2 linked regions of the Canis lupus familiaris genome follow. The main gene of each other region encodes a partner of the protein of the gene in region 2 in a complex. Links are inferred from orthologs where the notes say so. Each region holds a gene or a part of one and is shown on either strand. Other genes may lie near its edges.

Region 1 (2,693 bases), on a different chromosome or scaffold from region 2:
GTCCCTAGGCTGGTGAGGGTGGCGATGGGGCAGATGAGGAGGTGGCCCCTGGCCTCAGAAGATGAAGCTGCTACCCCTGTCCTCCCTTGGCTTCTCTCGCTGGACCTCACGTTTCTCATCAGCAAAATGAGGGTGTGGGGTTCTCGAGGAGCCCCTCCATCCCCCAGGCCCTGGGGCTGACCAGGCGGACCCCTCAGGTGAAGCACAGGGGCAGCTGGTGGTTCTCTGTCCACAGACTACTCGCTGCTGCTCACCTTCATCTACAGTGGGCGCATGGTGGGCAAAGCCCAGGTGCAGAGCCTGGACTGCCGCCTTGTGGCCGAGCCCTCCGGCTCCCAGTGCGGGATGGAGCAGGTCGTCTTTCCCAAGCCTGACCCTCCAGAGCCCACCCAGCGCCTGCTGAGCCAGATCGAGAGGGGTGTCCTGGTAGCCAGCAACTCCCGGGGCCTCTTCGTGCAGCGCCTCTGCCCCATCCCCGTCTCCTGGAATGCACCCCAGGCCCCACCTGGCCCAGGCCCACATCTGCTGCCCAGCAATGAGTGTGTGGAGCTCTTCAGAACCACCCACTTCTGCAGAGGTGAGGCTGTTCCAGCTGAGCTGAGCCCCTGGCTCCTTGTAGCCCCGCCCTGGGACCTGATAGGCTCTGCCACCACCCTGTGTTTCTGCCAGTAGATCCCTCATCACAGCTGATGTGTGGCACCCTGCCCTTGCACCGTGCACATCCTGTGGGGCCCTGTGCTCCGCCCTGGCAGCTGTCTGGCAGCCACCCTTCCCTAGTCCAGGCCTCGGAAGATGAGGCTCAGGTGGAGCTCAGCACACATGTCACGTCTCGGGGACTGCCCCCGCCTGGCAGCATGCAGTGATGGGAGGTGTGCCTGCTGGGCCTCTCCCGCACAGGCTCCCACACACACCCTCCCCCTATTCACCGGCCCTGCCACACTCCGGGCAGCTCCTCTGGTCATTCTTCTCCCATCCACTTCTGGAATTCTACTCCTGCCTCCCTTCACCTGTAAATCTGGCCAGGAGTGTAGGGGACACAGAACGGGAGAGTTCCAGGGCCGTGGGTGCCCTTGGGGGGGGGGGGGGCGGTGAGCCAGCAACAGAGTGGGGTACCTCTGTGTCAAGCAGACCCGGCTGCCAGGAGGACTCTTAAGTTCTCCAGCAGAGAGCTTGCAGATCGTATAAAAATCAGTTACCTCAAAGTATTATTCGAGGAAGGGGCGCCCTTTGCTGTTTGCACATGGGAGTAGCAGCTTAGTTGCCACCGTTCCTCCTGGCATAAGGCAGCCGCCTCACAACCCTGCGGCTCCAGTTCTGGCCCCACAGCCATCCGTCTTTGTCCATGGTGGGCCCCTCTCGGTCCCCTCCCTGCCTGTGGCCCCTGTCTTCTCTTTCTTCTAGCCCTTAACCCTTTTTCCTTCATCAGACCTGGTCAGGTACTTCCAGGGCCTGGGTCCCCCACCTGAGTTCCAGGTGACACTGAATTTCTGGGAGGAGAGCCCCGGCCCCAGCCGTACCCCAAAGAGCCTCATCACGGTGCAGGTGAGTTCAGGGCAGGGGAAGAGTAGGCTAGCCTGCCCCTGGAGGGCGTGTGTTGGGGTGGTTCCAGCAGGAGACGGGGCCTGGGGGGAAGACCTCCTAGGGTAGTGTCTGCTCTTGGCTGTGCTCCTGACAAGCTCTCCCCCACCTTCTCTGGCACAGATGGAGCAGGCCTTTGCCCGACATTTACTGGAAGAGACTCCAGAGGAGCAGTCAGCTGCCGTGTCCCTGCTGCAGAGCCTGGGAGACCCTGCTTCCTCCTCTCCTCTCTCTTCCTCCTATCTGCTTTGAAAGAGACTCATTCTCCACGCTGTTGGCCTGCCTCCCTCGGTGACAGTTCTCCGTGGTTGTCTCTGACAGCTGCGTCCTTCAACTGCTCATGTACCCGGCTGGTGGAGAACTCAAGGATGATCTTTATACCCCCTGTTTTTTGTTTTTGTTTGTTTGTTTTTGTTTTTTTGAGATACACCTTTCATTTCTGAGGAACTGACCTGGGAAAGTCCAAATGGTATGAACTCAGGGGACCTTTCCCTCTTCCCCCAGTCCTAAAGCCAAGCACTTTACATTTTCTTCTTAGATGTTCACTAGGGATTTAAAATAAAATTTTTTGAAAGAGGAGTCAGTATCTGCTTTGTTGGGATGAAAAGGTAGCAGGGGTCACAGGGAAGTGAAAGAGATGTAAGGTGAGAGTGAGTACTTGGGTTCTCTTCCTGCTGACCTCTCTGGGCCCTTTTCATCTCCTCCACCGGCAGGTTCTGGCTAGGACGCTGTCTGGGCTCTGTGGGTTCTGGGCCTGGGGAGAGGGGAGAGGTTAGCCACCCGGAAGAGCACAGCCTACAGCTGCTGTAGCCACCAACCTCACGCGGAAAAATCTGGGCTCTTCTCTTCTTGGCTAAGGCCTCCGATTCGGGCCTTACAACAGGCTTAGGGTTGGACTCTGGGCAGGAGTTCTAAATGAACAGGTGAACTTGGAAGTTGCCCTCAAATTCTGGGCTACAAGCACTGGGGCCTGGAATGGGCGGCAGAATCAGAGGGAAGAGCTGCTGAGCCTCCTGTGCTGAGGGAGACCAGGCCCTGGCACCTCTTCTCCCAACACATGGGGTGCTATCCTCTCAATGGAAGGGACTCCCAAACTGTTTTCCTTGCTCTACCTA
Region 2 (4,383 bases):
GAAGCACGGGAAGGGCAGTTTCCATGGATGCCCTGGCCTCTGCTCTACAGCTGTTGGCCAGGGAGCAACCAGGCCCAGAAAGGGCTCGACGCTCCCTTCCTATCAATGACTGTGAGCAGGAGCAGGAGGAAAATGTGCATAATGTAGTCCGGTTGTTTCCAGTAGTGGGAACCTACTACAATCTGGGCACAGCTTTGTACTACGCTGCTCAGAGCTGTTCAGACAAGGCCAAGGAACGAGGCCAAGATGGGCTCGTAGACATGGGTTATGACCTTCTGATGACCCTTGCTGGATGGTCTGGGGGACCCACAGGAGTACTAATCAGCTCCGCACTTAAACCTGCAGTGAAGGCTGGGATTCAACAGTTGATCCAGTATTACTATGAGCAAGAGGCCAACACGGCTCTGCCAGTGATCAGCAGGAAGGCCTTGGGGGGTATCTCAGATGTGGGTGACCTAGAAGAAACAACTACCACGGTGCTTTGGTATTAGTTCAGCTCTCTTATTAGTTTAGGGTTTATTTAATAACTCTGACTTAGATGCCGGAAATGGTAGTCTTGGGATATAAAAGGTGGTGATCACAGAATGAATAAATCTAATATTTTGACAAGCTGTAATGTATATGTGTTCAACATCGAAATCCCTGGTTATCAGGGAAGAAGGCAATGCTCTAAAATGCAGGGATTTTAAAGTCTGGGGTTTGGAGTCAGAAGATTTGGATTTGAATCCAGGCTTCACCTGTAGGAGCCTCAATTACAATTCTTCTCCACACTCAGTTTTTAAAACATCTAAAGTAGATAAATAAAATATGTACTTAAAAAAATAAAATAAAATAAAACATCTAAAGTAGAGGCGTGGGACGCCTGTTGGCTCAGGTCGTGGTCCTGGAGTCCTGCATTGGGCTCCGCATGGCGAGCCTGCTTCTCCCTCTGCCTAGGTCTCTGTGTCTCCCATGAATAAATAAAAATCTTTAAAAAGAAACAAAACGTCTTAAGTAGTGATAATCATTTTCCCTGGATGGGTTTTGTGGAAATTAAAAATGATACAAGGAACGTCAGTGCTTAGCAAGGTACCATCAGTAAACGGTTATTTATTGGCACAGCTCGTCGCTTCCCGCCCCAAAGAATCGACATTCCGGGCCCCTCCGGGAGCGCTGGGAGCCTGCAGCGCCCCGGGCCGGTCTCGGTTTCGCTGCCGCCGCGGGGATTCTCGGAAATCAGCTGCGGCGCCGCGCGGCTGTTCCGTCAATGGGACTCCTCCCCTCCGGGGACGGGGGCGGGGCGTCCTTGAGCGATCCCACCAATCGTGGGGCGGGAGGTGTGGTCTCGGCGCCGCTGGTCCCGCCCCGCGGGGGAGGAGTTGTGGCGACGCCAACGGGCGGAGGGCACTGGCAGAACGGCCGCCAGCGTCGCGGTTGCCAGGCTGCGCACGGCGAGCTCCCGGGTTCAGCCGCGCGTTCCAGCCCGCGGGCTCCGAGGGGGCGGGGCCGAGGAGCCGGGGGCGGGGCCGGGCGGGGCCGGGCGGGGCGCGCGGGGGGCCCCGAGCTCCCTCCCCGGGCCGGAAGCCTTTCCCGGAGCGGCTGGACGGAGGGGATCCTGAGCCTCTCGGCAGGTACGGGCCCAGGGGGCCGCGCGGGGCCGGGGTGCGGGCGCGCGTCGCTCCCCGGGGAAGGCGGCAGGCCCTGGGGTGCGCCCGCTCGTCGTGAGCCTTCGTCTCTAAGTCGAAATAGCTGTCCCCTGCTGCGTGAGCGAGTCTCCCATCCAGCCCGGCCGCCGGCGCTGACACCCGGCTCCCCAGACGCTCCCGGCAGCCTCGGAATCCCTTAGCCAGCGCCTTGACCCTCCGGGCTGTGTTAGGTTTGATTCTCGCCAAAAAAAGAAAAAAGGATGTCTGAAGGTAGATACGATTTCACTTCCTTCACTGTTATCTTACGAAGTGTAAGGGGCAGCGCAGCCCGGTGGCTCAGCGGTTCAGCGGCGCCTTGGGCCCAGGGCGTGACCCCGGGTCCGGGCCGAGCCCGCGTCGGCTCCCTGCATGGAGCCTGCTTCTCCCCTGCCTGCGTCTCGGCCTCTCTGGGTGTCTCTCATGAACCAATAAAATCTTAAAAAAAAAAAAAAAGCGTAAGGGACAGAAAGGTGAAACAATTTGCCTAAGGTCACACACAAAATGCAGTCCTTTTCCAAAAAGCTCATTGAGCAAAAAATGTATGCCCAAGAGAGTGAGGGATAGCTGGGGGAAAAGCGTTACAGCCTTTAGGCCTCGTGTTTGCGGTCTGTTTTGGGAAGACCATGCTTTTTTGTTTTGTTTTCTCATATTTAAACCTTACGGTTAACTTGCCACCTTGCTCTTTTCATAACAGTCGAGATTCCTTCCTTAAGAAGTGGAGACTCTCCATTTGTTTTTTTAAAGCAGTACAGGTGCATAGATTTCAAAGCCAAGCACTAGTAAAAGCATTAAAATGAAAAATAGGAGTCCCTGACCAATCCTTTCCTCCCCGTTTCTACTTCAAAGAGGTAGAAAAGCATCTCACGATTATTCATACTGACGGAACACAATCTCTCCCACCCCAGACATTTTTCTTTCATTGGTGATAAGATCATGTCACCTTTTTTGGACCACGGATGTATGTAAATACTCTTTTCTGTTAGGTTTAATCTTCAACAAGAATAGGTTTTGATTTCCTAAGCAGGCAGTTGGCAGGGGGCGGGGAAAGAGAGGAAGAAAGATTCTTAGCCCAGCCTACTTGGTAGCAGGCAAATACCAGGTTTGTTTGTTTTTTCAAATACCAGTTTTGAGTGAAGTTTCATGGTGAAAAAACAAACAAAAGCCTCTGCTTGAAAAAAAAAAAAAAAAAAAGCCTCTGCTTTCTTTGCCCAACCCTGCCTCTGTGGGTGGGGGGGAATTTCTGGGTCTCTCACAAAGTTGATAATATACATGAAGAGTCAGAGGTTGATAGAGGTCTTAAAAGTATCACAGTCTTAGAGATTGAGTGACCTCCTTGTAGAGTATTTAAATATTTGTGTTTTTTTTTAAGTATTTAAATATTTGGAAAAAAAATAAATATTTGGAAGGAAGTCTCTCCTTCCTACATGGAGAGCAGATTGTTAAGGTTTCAGCCCTTGATAAAGCTTTGGGACCATCAGGGATCATGCTGAAATAAATATTTATAACCCATTTATGATCTTGAAATGTTCCAGCATAAGTAAACACGAATACAAATTTAAAATAAATTCACTGGGGGAGATAGATGAAATTAAGATGGTGGAAATATTAATGTTTAGTAAAGTTGAATGATGGGTAAATGGATGATTCTTGTACTATTCACTCTACTTCGGTGTGTGTTTGAAAATCGTCATTAAGGGACACCTGGGTGGCTCCGCAGTTGGGTGTCTGCCTTGGGCTCAGGGCGTGATCCTGGAGACCCGAGATTGAGTCCCACGTCGGGCTCCCTGCGGGGAGCCTGCTTCTCCCTCTGCCTGTGTCTCTGCCTCTCTCTCTCTGTGTCTCTCATGAATAAATAAATAAATAAAGGCTTAAAAAAAAGAACTGATCATTAAAACAAAAAGGCCCACATATTGCAGCTCCTAAATAGTACTGTCTGAAAGAATATGAACTAAACTGATAATATTGGTTACCTGTGGAGAGAAGAGGAAGAGACCAACATTAGGAGTGAGATCAATGTAGCTCCAGTTTTCTTTTTTTTCGTACCTTTATAATTAATTTTTTTTATTATAGTGATAAGCAATCATGAGACTGTGGATGATTTAGTCCAGCAAAATTTCCAGTTGGGAACGTGCATCCTTCAGACTCAGACCCCAAATGGCGCAGTGGGAGATGCTACAGAATCTCGACAACCCATTTCAGGATCAGCTGCATCAGCTCTACTCAGATAGCCTCCTGCCAGTGGACATTCGACAGCACTTGGCTGTCTGGATTGAAGATCAGAACTGGTGAGTTCCTCAGGAAGTGGGGTGTGGAAAGTAGTTTCTTCTGAGCCCCCAGGATCCTGGAGACACCAAAGTTGTCTAGAAGGGGTTAGGAGGCCACAAAAGACAGTAGGAACGCTGCAGGGATACTAATCCTTGTCATTCCTGGTCCCTAGGCAGGAGGCTGCCCTGGGCAATGATGATTCCAAGGTGAACATGCTGTTCTTCCATTTCTTGGACCAACTGAAGTATGAGTGTGGCCGCTGCGGCCAGGACCCTGAGTGCTTTTTATTACAGCACAACTTGCGAAAATTCTATCGGGACATTCAGGTACTTGGAGGAGCCAGGAATGGCCAAAAAGCTGAATATAAAGGAAACTGAATGTAGAGGAGTATGGTTTAGGGTATGAAACAGGACCTGGAGATGTAAAGGGATGGGCGCAGATCTGGGGAAAAGAG

Evidence for each region.
Region 1: the proteins of STAT2 (region 2) and IRF9 are in contact, whole or in part, in a crystal structure (PDB 5OEN), measured with the Mus musculus proteins. The link is inferred for Canis lupus familiaris from reciprocal best matches to the Homo sapiens genes STAT2 and IRF9. Residues at the interface, in NP_064347.1 of Mus musculus: Arg163, Gln164, Lys166, Asp167, Glu168, Asp170, Val171, Phe174, Arg175, Thr177, Val178, Phe179, Leu181, Lys182, Asp188, His190, Gln191, Gln193, Gln194, Leu197, Thr201, Lys204, Met208; in NP_032420.1 of Mus musculus: Leu206, Leu208, Tyr212, Leu233, Asp234, Arg236, Ser244, Glu245, Ser246, Ser247, Met248, Asp270, Arg271, Leu274, Val275, Ala276, Asn278, Ser279, Arg280, Phe283, Val284, Gln285, Leu287, Cys313, Glu315.

The regions. Positions count from the first base shown.
Region 1 is NC_049229.1:4,280,147-4,282,839, forward strand, and holds the end of IRF9 (interferon regulatory factor 9), read left to right. Parts: intron 1-235; coding exon 236-577; intron 578-1,426; coding exon 1,427-1,542; intron 1,543-1,701; coding exon 1,702-1,830; 3' UTR 1,831-2,157; downstream 2,158-2,693.
Region 2 is NC_049231.1:1,010,933-1,015,315, reverse strand, and holds the start of STAT2 (signal transducer and activator of transcription 2), read left to right. Parts: upstream 1-1,492; 5' UTR 1,493-1,610; intron 1,611-1,679; exon of another isoform or gene 1,680-1,895; intron 1,896-3,734; 5' UTR 3,735-3,818; coding exon 3,819-3,949; intron 3,950-4,101; coding exon 4,102-4,255; intron 4,256-4,383. Other genes in the region: APOF (apolipoprotein F), read left to right, coding at 1-491. UniProt on the Homo sapiens protein: Signal transducer and activator of transcription that mediates signaling by type I interferons (IFN-alpha and IFN-beta).